Drosophila melanogaster: one gene and its partner. The protein of the gene in region 2 interacts with the protein of the main gene of each other region in a pairwise test. Each region holds a gene or a part of one and is shown on either strand. Other genes may lie near its edges.

Region 1 (4,355 bases), on a different chromosome or scaffold from region 2:
TTACTTCTCCAATTTGTGCGAGATAAACAGAGCCACGTATTTAATTCCAAGAATTTTAGACCGAAATGCCGCAGCTGATTAGGGTTGTCAACTCAATTTAGGGATGACACTTCTCCGCAAAACAGTGACTCATTCACAGTCACCGCAGATATCGATTAATGGTCTATCGCAGTAAGAATTCTATGATTTTGAATTAAAATAAAATATATAACAAAAGGCAATTTAAAATGGTTATAAACTTTCTTATGCTTGCGAATATTAAGTAGATATAGGTTAAGTATGTAGTTTTAAATAATAAATCAAAAACTACGATATGATATAGGACTCATGGTACAAGACTTTATAAAACACATTTTCTGATTGATTTTTTTATGTTAACATAAGTTACTCTATATATTTTAGTCAATTCTAACCTATAAATACTATTAAAAACTGACCTTAGTCACAAATATCTCTGCTTAAGGATCGAAACACGCATGCGCGCTCTTTGAAATTCAAAAACAACAAGTTCTGAGAATATACGTAGTCCTCTCCCATTCAGATACACACCATTGGAATTTTTCATCGCCTCTGCGCTGGGCGGAATAACAATTTGTTTATAGTCAATTAAAATGTGCTTGTGAATCGTAAAAAAAAAACTACATAAAATACAAAATGAAGTTTTTAAACTTAATAGTGGTCGTATTAGCTTTAATCTGCAACGAAGTTCAGGGTCTAAAGTTGCAGGCAAATGTTGGAGAACTCTTCACCTACAAAATCGAACCGCAACTCTTTAACTGGACACACCAGGTGATCAGCCAGCAATTTCGCTACAGACCCTCGCTGAAGAATTATCCCGATTTGCCCAGTTGGATGCGATATATGTATAGCCATGAATACCATGCCGGCTTCCTCTACGGAACTCCTCCAGCATCGTCGGCTGGCAAGGATCTAAGTCTGGATGTGGTCGCCCTTAATCGCCAGAATTACGAAACGCGACGCGTTGTGGTCACAATGTTTGTCGCCCACAAGTTTCCCACACCCAATGTCGTGCAGATGAAAATAAACAATCTGAATTGGGTGCACCTAATGGATCCCGGCAGAAGGGAGAACCTACGAAATATATTCCGCAACGATCTTTGGCCAAATAGCAAGGAGGACTTGAGTGTGGTCTTCATGGAGTCAGCTGTGAATATGGGCGGACGACTTCCACTGCGACCGCAGCAGCGCGAGGGGTAATCTAGTTATAATTTAGTTATCCATAACAATCTCTTATCTTATTATATTCATTTCATATTTCATTGCAGAGTCATTGTCCACGTGGGCAGCTTTGCCCAGTTCTCACCGCGGCTGCAGGAACTCCAGGAGGAAGTGAGACCACTGTACAAGTTGCCATCTTGCACCTACAAACGCACATCCGTGCAGAAAATCTTTGAGAATGTTGGCTTCAAACTGGACTGGTGCGCCTTTCGAATGGTGGGCATGGAATCACCAACGGAAATCCTCTTCCACAGTGGCAAGCAGAACGAGCAGCAGATGCCCGATGATCTGAATCAGAGGCAAGAGGATCGCTGGATGGGAATCGCCAGGGAGGATGTGCCCGAACGCAATTACATCGATGAATTCGCCTTTGCCTTTGCCATTCCGGGCATGATTTTTGCCATTTTAATCGGAATGCTATCAGCTGTTTTGTGTTTCCAGCACGAGAAGTTGTGAGTTTCCCAACTGGGAAATTACGAAATTGATTTCTTCATTTTATATTTTCTTTAATTGTTTTTATCTTTCGTTTACTTCAGTTACGATCCGCATTCTGAGTTTTTCTTTGCCAACATTTTCCACATCTGCGAAGAGTCCTGTGCGCCGCAAAGCGCGTCAAGCGATTCTGGTGCGGATGATGGTTCTGAGAGGTGATTTCACTTCTTATTTTCCTATTTGCTCATTGAAAGCAGTGATTGTATATGATTGGTATCGCTTACAGCTCTTCCAATTCGGATTATCCCATGGCATCCACTGTGCAGATGGTTCAGTGTTCGGATAGCAAATCCAATCAGCCCATAACAACATTGAAAAGCCTCAAGGATCCCAATTTTCTACTGGACAACACTAGCATGAGATCTCAGAGGTGGAGCTGTCTAGCTATTCATATTCAGAACTCTCATATTCAAATATCTATTTATCTATTGTAGTCCCAACAACAGCTTTTACCAGTTGGACTGCGGAAACTCCAGCATTTATGCTCGTCCCAAGCCACCGCCATATAAGGGCGGTACTTTGGGTCGAAATGGAGTGGACATTTGACAAACATCTCCCCGAGTGCTCTACTGCTGAGGAGTGTTGGATTCGAGCGCATACAATTTCAATAAGCAATATCGAGGAGGAGCGTTATATCAATTGCATAAATACTCACACCTGCCGAACTAGACAAACCATATCGTAATTATCATTTTATATAGATATGCAAGCATGAAACTAGCCAATTAGTTTGCCATTTAAGAATAAAGGCAATCAAATAAAGCATAATATTTTAGAAGTCTTTCGTTTTAACTATTTTATGACCTACTCATCTCTGCTAAAGTCGAATTCAAACACTTTTCTTTTATAAAAAGGAAGTACTAAATTCTTTACGCGCCTAATTTTAAATTCAATTGAAACCAGTTTTTATGCATAAAATCGATATTTCAGTTTGAGCCAACGTATCGATGTATCGGTTGTAAAATCGTTCTTATTTCCAGCTCTAGAATGAATGTTCCGCAAGTTTTCGTTTTTCGGAGAAAGTTTTTACAGTTTTTGCGGGCTGCATAGTGCCGAATCATTTCGCAATGGCGCCACCCGAAAATGGGATCCTTGAGGTCCTCGAAAATCTACTTGACCGGTACAAAATCAACCTGCTGCAAATGATGTTCGGCACCTTCATCGCCACGATCGTGTTCTTTGGCGGACTGATGACTTTCGTGGAGAAGTACCTGCCCAATAGCATACGCCAGTCCTTTCGGTATGGCAAGCACAGTTTCAAGGGTGAAACGGATCCTTTGGTGGCCTGGCTGGAGGTTCCGAAGTCCTGGTTCAAGCACTTCTACACATTTGCCCTGTTCTGGAGCTGGCTGGCATTTTATGTGCTCGTTTCAACCGTTCGGGAGCAAAAGGAGGCGCCCGAATATGTACTCCAATTCCTGGACATCATGGGCGGCGGACGTAGTCACCGGAAGGTGGAGATCGACTCAACGACTGCCTGTGTGGGCGCATTTATGCTCACGTTGCAGTGCACCCGGCGTTTTTACGAGACCAATTTTGTGCAAATCTTCTCCAAGAAGAGCAAAATCAATCTGTCGCACTATGCCGTGGGCTATGTGCACTACTTTGGAGCCGTTATAGCTTTACTATCCAATACCTCCGGCTTTGTGCGCGGCTCCAAGCCCATGGAGTTCAGCCTCGACAAGCTGACAAGCCAGCAAATACTCTACCTCGGCGTCTTCTTTCTCGCCTGGCAGCAGCAGTATGCCAGTAACATGATATTAGTTAACCTGCGGAAGGATCCGCGGACGGGAAGTGTCAAAACGGAAAAGCACCTTCTGCCCAAGGGTGGGCTTTTCAATCTGCTTTCGTCGCCGCACATGTTCCTCGAGGTGGTCATGTACTTCTGCATCGCCGATCTCTACATGCCAGTTAGGATTTGGCGATTGATCTTCCTCTGGGTGGCCAGCAATCAAACGATCAATGCTCTGCTAACCCACAAGTGGTACCAGGAAACATTCAGGGAATATCCAAAGAACCGACGTGCTATCATTCCGTTCCTGCTCTGAGTCCGAAGACTGGAAACATTTCGCATTTTTGTACAAATAATTTAGTAGTGGAATTTATTAAAGTCGTTTTACACGCACGAAAAATGTGTGCTCGCTGGTGATTTTAACTACAAAAACGATATAGGGTGAACTTGAACTGGAACAGGACTGCAGTCGATTCTATTTGAACAAGAAACTGTGGGGAAAAGAGAAGCCAACTTAAATATGTGATAAATTGCTTGCAGGATAGTAATGACTGACCTATAGGGATAACCCTGCGCCTTCGAACGAAAAACGGACAACAGGAAGGAGAAGAACACGGTGAGGAGCACCAAACCAGTCATCGCCATTATCCTGTTCTTGTTGTGAGCCTTTGGTGTTCCCGATTCAATCAGCAGAATCATGCCCAGCACAATCATGGCATCTGTAATCAAAGTTATTAGTTAAATAGTCCAAAAATGGTCAACAGAACTAGAGTGAAGACTAAAGACTCAGGACTTACTCAGGAACATGACGATATAGGTCTCCACCACCAGCTGGCCCTGCGAGGAGCCATGGATGTAGGCCACGCCACCATTTTGCGACTTGTGGACCAGC
Region 2 (6,940 bases):
CTCTATGGAGTGTGCACACACTCACACACACACACGCAATAAACCCCAGCAAAACACACTCTCCGAAACGGCCACTCGATGTGGAGTATGTGTGTGTGTGTGTGGTGTGTTTGTATCTGTGTGTGAGTGCGAGTGCAGTGTGCATTGCATTGCCAGACCGTCCGGCGCGCATAACGTCATCGCCACTTGGAATAGGGTCAGTGGCGTCTTCTGCGAAGGGGATTTCTTATAAAAAGGCACACAAAACAGGCTGCGCAGACGTAACATTTTCCCAAGAAAGTATGCAGTACTTTATAAAATGTGAGCAACGTAATACTATGACCATAAGATCCCATTTATTAGATGCAACAAGCTTTGGAAAATATTTCTAGCCCCCTTTTTTTGTGCCACGCCCCTGTTCGGCCATTCGAGTACGAATATTATCGCCCACGATTTTTGGTTTTTGTTGCTGCTCTACTGTTTGTTTTCGATACCCAGGCACACAGACGCACACACAAACACGCATTGAAGTACACAGGAGGGGGTACTTGAGTTCTATGGCTCGAAAAGTTCTATGGTCCGTCCGTGAAAGAAAGAAATATTCAAACAAATTTCATCAACTAACAATCGAACGTTAAGTTTCATTTGCTATGTAAATGTAAATCGATCGGTGATAAGTCGGATGTAGCTACTATTTGGAAAAGCTTATATACATTAGTATGTATATAAATTCTGAAGAAAACAGGTTAAGTATTTTTGGGTTACCATCCTCTGGGCGAATAAAATTATCCTTAAAAGTGTCCTTTGATATAATTGAATAATATAGAGTTAGTACTTTTAAATTGGCCACCTGCTGCAGTCATTAAAAATTGGTTCGAAAATATTTAATCTCATGGAACAGCAAATTTAACTCAAATGAAACCGAATCCTGCCTATGGCATTTGCGCTGATACAAAAGATGGATTATCCCGCGAATTCCTTGGATCTTTTGTCGACCCTTTCGGCCTGTCAGATGGCATATTCCTCAGGTGCCCGGCTGTCTGCAGATTTTATGTGAGTTTTTGGGGGATAAATCAAGTGAGGGGCGGCGGTGCAAGGGGGGGGGGGTCAGTTTGGAGATCTCCAGTCAAACTGTACTAAAGATAGAGCCGAACACGTTCCCAGTGCTGCCACACAGATACACACCAATACCAATGTAAGAAACAAAAAAAAAAAAAAAAACTACAAAAAAAAAATACAGGAAACGCGGACGCCAATGGAGAAAAAAAAACAGGGGCAGGGGCAGGGGCAGTGGACAGTGGACGGGGGATAAGTGCATATGTGGCCCCTGAAACTTAACACTTCTTTGGCTCCGGCTGCGAATATTAAAATACCCACTTAAGGCCAACAATAACAGCGGCAAGAAGCAGAGAAAATGTGAAAAGGAGGAGCTAGAATTGAACTCAAGTACTTTCGTCTCGCACTGAAAGAAAAAAATACATTTATGTATGAATATGAAAAAAAAAACTATCTTAATATCATAGTGCTATTTTATTTACATGAAATCTATAAACTAAAATAGCGACTCACTAAGCGTGAAAAATCGAAATAGATCTAAATAATATTATAGCCAGCATTTCTCGCAGTGCACAAACATGATCTGGCATTGGCGCCCGTGCGTCTGAATATGGAAATCGAAATGGGTCCGAGTATGGGTGCGTTGTATATGGAATGGGATGGGATGTGGATAGGAGGACACTTGAGTTTTAGGCCGGGCTTATCTGCATTCTAGGCGAAGGGAGGGGAAGCGAAAGGAAAGGAAACCACTCGACGGCGCACTTGAGAAGCGGGAGAAGCAAGCGGCAGTCTGCTGCATGGATATTAACTAATTGTCGGCCACAAAAATGCATGGGAAGGCGATCGCAACACGCCATTTAACACATTTGCACGCTTCCAAAGTGTTTCCTTTTCGAATTTGCTTTGTATATAGTGGTTTACTCTGGCGAGTGACGGGGGTATATGCATTTTATTTTTTAGTTTGGGTTTTCAATTTAAGCTTAAGATGTGAAAATCTATACTTATACTTGTCTATACTCATTATTTCCGATTAAGCTTTCTGCAAACGTTCGCTTACTTTCGGTTATACAATAAATAATGTTAAAAATCTGAATAGCCTTTTTTCTAGATGTAAAATGTAGAATATTTTGAATATTGCGCCAACAGTGTGACCCCTGCTAGAACGCAGAAATGTTTTTTTGCGAGTATGTGGCAACGTTGGTCGTAAGTTTTTCCCCATGCGCGAACGGTCTCACCGATTTCCTGTAATGCATCATCGATAATCTATCGATTGCTGAGTAGTGCAAAAAAAGTGGGCAAAAAAGGTGCAATGTTTAGCGTTTAAGTGCGTTAAGTTGCTTTTGCGGACGACAACAACAACACCAGCAGCATTGCCGGTCAAATTGATCTAATTGATTTTCGGGCAGTGCCAACAGCAACTAAAACCAAATTAATAAATGAATCCCTGCGCATACATAAACATATAAAAACACACACACACACACATACATTCGCATAAAGGACGCGAACCGAAAAGGGAAAAACAAACACAAAGGAAAAAAAAAGGAAAAAGGAGAGCGCAGCTTTTTCAGAAATTGGGTCATTTGTTGTTGTTGTTGTTGTTGTTGCTGCTGTTGCTGGTGATTTTCAAACGAATTTCATTTGTTGCTGTCGTCGTCGGTTCGGTGTTGTTGTTGTTGTTGCTGTTGTTGCAATGGTCGTGGACGTTGTTGTCGCTGACAGCTAAATGTTATGGCAACACTTGCAACCTGAATTCGTGTGGGTAAGTAGTGTTTGCATTTATGTTGAATTTATTTTAACTTATATACCTTATACTTAACTTATTTTTGTGCTTTTCGCCAAATAACTATTCATATTTGGCAAAAATTAATAGTGAGGAGCGGAAAGCGAAAGGATAATAGGGTAGCGGAGACGAAGCCTTATATTTCCACCAGAAAATCCTGGCACAATTTATGACAACTCTACACTTGTGTGTGTTTGTGTTGGTGAGTAACTTAACAACTATGACTTCTTTTTTTTTTTTTTGCTATGTTAAAAAAAAAATGTGATATTTCATTATTCAGTTTAGTTTGAAGTAATAGAAATTCAAAAGTATTTGTGCTATATTTTATTATTTACTCCCTAATAACCAATGCCTATTCCTTTCTATTCGCAGAGTGAGACAGCGGAGTAGCTTCTTCAAATCAAAGGATACCACTGCAGCAGCCATCCAGCCAGGAGCCTTAAAAAAGCTGTTCAGCTTGAGAAATCCGAAACGCAGACTATAGACAAATAATACCACCAGATTCATTCCGTGCACAATGAGCGTGGTGGGTAAGCAACTAAATCCGGTGCAATCCTCCGGTGCAGGCGCAGTGACAACGTCTTCCTCCGCGGCCGCAGGATCCTCTTCTTCGAACAGTGGAGTGGAGGCCAACGGCGGCAGTGGAGGATCGTCGGGAGCTGCAGCAGCGGGCGCTGGTGCCTCCGGTGATGCCAAACGGCCTGCGGAGTCTTCCAGCGTGACTCCCGACGAGGTGCTCCATCTGACCAAGATCACGGACGACTATCTCTGCTCCGCCAATGCAAATGTGTTCGAGATTGATTTCACGCGGTTCAAGATTCGCGACCTGGAGAGCGGCGCTGTGCTCTTCGAGATCGCCAAACCGCCGAGTGAACAATATCCGGAAGGACTGTCCTCGGATGAAACCATGCTGGCGGCTGCCGAGAAATTGTCACTGGATGACACTGCCGATCCAAATGCCGGACGCTATGTGCGCTATCAGTTCACACCGGCATTTCTCAACCTCAAAACAGTGGGAGCCACGTAGGTTATACAGTATTTGCATTTGTTTTAAATGCCTCTCAATTTGTAAGTTTCCCTTATTTGCAGTGTGGAATTCACTGTGGGCAGCCAGCCGCTTAATAATTTTCGTATGATCGAACGCCACTTCTTCCGCGATCGCCTGCTAAAGACGTTTGACTTTGAGTTCGGCTTTTGCTTTCCATTTTCGAAGAATACGGTTGAGCACATCTACGAGTTTCCTAACCTTCCACCCGACCTAGGTGAGCAATTTTTACATAATCCCAGCCAGCATGACACGCAATTGAAAGTTGCTGCCAAAAGTTGAAGGGGTTTGTGGGTCAAGGTCGTTTACGATTTGCGCCTGTGAGATGAGGCTTCTATTGGTCAGATTGCGAGCAGCTATCATGGTTTTTATTTTTTGTTATCGGTTTGTAGGATGTGGACTTATTAATGAAATGCAATTCACATAAATATGTTCGTTCGTTTTCCATTTTTTTTTAGTTGCTGAGATGATATCGAGCCCCTTTGAGACGCGCTCGGACAGCTTTTACTTTGTGGGAAACCGACTCGTCATGCACAACAAAGCCGACTACGCCTACGATGGCGGCAATATAGTCTAGAAACTCAACTATAATGGAACTGCAACTAGAGCAAAACTAATAACTAAAGAACTAGAAACTACAGAAGCTGTGAGACAAAATCAATGACTTGTCACACACACACACACACGAAACACCCACTCAATGTCAACAATCACACTCACAAACACATCGAATCGAATCGAGGAATATTATCACAGCCATTTTAGCCTTAGCACACCAAAGTTTTACCCACCATTCCTGTTTGATGTATTTAGCATCAAGATATGATCTCCTGCAAACGGAAACTAACACACAAACACAACAACAACACACTGAAGCACGCGGATTGTGTTCATTTATCAATGATTTCCACTTTGACTATATAATTTTAAGTGCTATGTGATTTCCCTTGATTTATATATGTATTTGTACACACTTATTTAATCCTAATAAGTAAGGACACTCCACACACACACCCAACAAGAAACAACAAATACATATATATAAAATACGTACGTATACACACACGCACACACAGAACTTATGAGAAGCGAATTGGAAATTTTCAAAAAAAAAAAATTGAGGAAAATCCATTTGCCGTCAATTTTTGTATGCAGCATACGAAATCATACGAAATCTATCAGCTTCTTCATGGCATTTTTTTCGTGTCTGTGTATGTATATTTTTTAAACAAAAACCAAATGGAAAAAGACGAACGTAACTGGAAATCCAAAAAAAAAAAAACACTAACGATTACACGCCGAACAAGAATGATAAATTAAATTACATTTTAAATGTACATACACCACTATAAATTGAAACTTTTCTAAGGGGGTTAAATCGAGGGCATTTCGTGCACTAAAGGTGCTTAAGAAATTTATTATATTCTGAAAAATCATCAAGTTCAGAACGCTTATATCAAAAAAAAAAATATATATATTGCTATCCCGCTCTTTTCGGTGAAGATTCTTGAAGATCTGCGTAGATCGTTGAAGAATGTCTTCTCGAGTTCTGAAGTGAAATTAATTTGAATTCCCGTTCCCAAGAAAAACAAAGCGTTCACTTTCCAATTTAGCTAAAGTCGATCTACGCGATTGACTTCTTTGTACATTTGGTTAAAATATCAAAATTTGGTCTACTCAGTTCTATTCAGGAACTCGCTGACTATTGTTAGAAACTCCTGCGGCTTTTCAAAGTGCACTAAATGTCCGGCATCCAGCCAGTGGATCTCAGAATTGGGAAACATTTTCTGTATCTGTGGCCATTGCTCGCGTCTAATAAAGATGGCAAAAAGATTCAATTAGTTTAGTTTACTTAGCACCTCGGGATCCAAGTTACCTCATGTAAGGTGATCGCGTGCCGCAAATGAACGTAGTGGGTCCCGTGTACGGCGGCAGTTCCTCCAAATTACTCTGATATTTGTCGAAGCGGGTGAGGAATTCACGAAGAACATGGGCATTGCAGGCCCAAGAGAAACTATAGGAAGATTATCTCATTTTAAAGCGGTTCCCAAAAAAGGCCAAATACATATGTGGCAAACTTACGCGCCGGTGTCAGGATTTTTTCGGAGATTCAGCATGATAAAGTCAACGGTCTCGTCTTCGGTGGCTTTCAGTAGTTTTTCCCGTGCAATTTTCCTGCCCTCAGACATGGACATGCTTGGCGAAAGGTCCAGGGAGACCATCGCGTCGAAAATTTCCGTCATCTCGCCCGTGGAACGGGGCACGCTAATTGGCGATATGTCCACCACTATCAAACGTTCCACCAACTCGGGCTATGATAATGGAAAAATGATTGTTTAACATTTAACTCAGTTTGTGCATAAGGCGCAACACTTACATATTTTCGAGCGAAGTACATCATGGACCTGCCGCCCATGCTGTGACCCATGCAGGCGGCATTCGGATGACTGCGCTGCTCCATAAACAAACGCAAATCCTCGCTCATCGCTTTGGAATTGTGGACACTCGAATGTGGACTCTCGCCATGATTCCTCACATCGATGGCGTACACCTGTAGGTTAAAATAAATACACATTGGCTTGAGCATTGATACTTTGGCTAAACGCATAAATTGGTAAGCTCACCTTTCGGGAAACTTTTCGCACCAGAGCCTTGCTAATTCCTCGCCAATTTTGCTTGGAACCAAAGAGTCCATGATATGTGAGCAGTGGTGGACTCGTCTCTGGATTCTCGCCGGTGTACGAATCGAAGCTTAGTTCAACGGGATCCGGTATTTCCGAGGAGTACTCCCTTCTGACCACCAATTGGGTTCGCAGGATCTTTCCCGCGGGAAATGGAAGTGAACGTAACGATTTCGTCAGGCGCTGCATTTGGTGGCCCCAGTGTGTACACACGCCACCGGCGGGAAAACTAATTGGGCAGTGGTATGTTGCCGCCGAGGGGGGTTCGTTGCTTTGCTAAAGTTGCGTAATTATTGTTAATTTGCAGCAATTTCGATAAATTTCAACATTTTGCCAATTGTGTACGGAGTCCAGCTGACCGGTGTTTTATTTTTCGACAACATGTAGTTTGGCAAT

Evidence for each region. The genes of interacting proteins can lie anywhere in the genome.
Region 1: the proteins of unc-119 (region 2) and CG7840 interact in a two-hybrid assay, tested with the Drosophila melanogaster proteins (one large-scale study listed by BioGRID).

The regions. Positions count from the first base shown.
Region 1 is NT_033779.5:8,302,887-8,307,241, forward strand, and holds CG7840 (uncharacterized protein), read left to right. Parts: upstream 1-2,699; 5' UTR 2,700-2,798; coding exon 2,799-3,779; 3' UTR 3,780-3,855; downstream 3,856-4,355. Other genes in the region: Scgalpha (sarcoglycan alpha), read left to right, coding at 655-1,214, 1,287-1,691, 1,776-1,886, 1,958-2,101, 2,166-2,277; Ostgamma (oligosaccharide transferase gamma subunit), read right to left, coding at 3,939-3,954, 4,020-4,182, 4,261-4,355. UniProt on the Drosophila melanogaster protein: Plays a key role in early steps of protein N-linked glycosylation by being involved in the conversion of polyprenol into dolichol. Acts as a polyprenal reductase that mediates the reduction of polyprenal into dolichal in a NADP-dependent mechanism.
Region 2 is NC_004354.4:7,286,646-7,293,585, reverse strand, and holds unc-119 (unc-119), read left to right. Parts: upstream 1-2,287; 5' UTR 2,288-2,793; exon of another isoform or gene 2,794-2,797; intron 2,798-2,908; 5' UTR 2,909-3,020; intron 3,021-3,190; 5' UTR 3,191-3,335; coding exon 3,336-3,841; intron 3,842-3,907; coding exon 3,908-4,080; intron 4,081-4,321; coding exon 4,322-4,440; 3' UTR 4,441-5,219; downstream 5,220-6,940. Other genes in the region: CG2059 (uncharacterized protein), read right to left, coding at 5,537-5,675, 5,740-5,877, 5,946-6,175, 6,241-6,414, 6,488-6,733. UniProt on the Drosophila melanogaster protein: Myristoyl-binding protein that acts as a cargo adapter: specifically binds the myristoyl moiety of a subset of N-terminally myristoylated proteins and is required for their localization.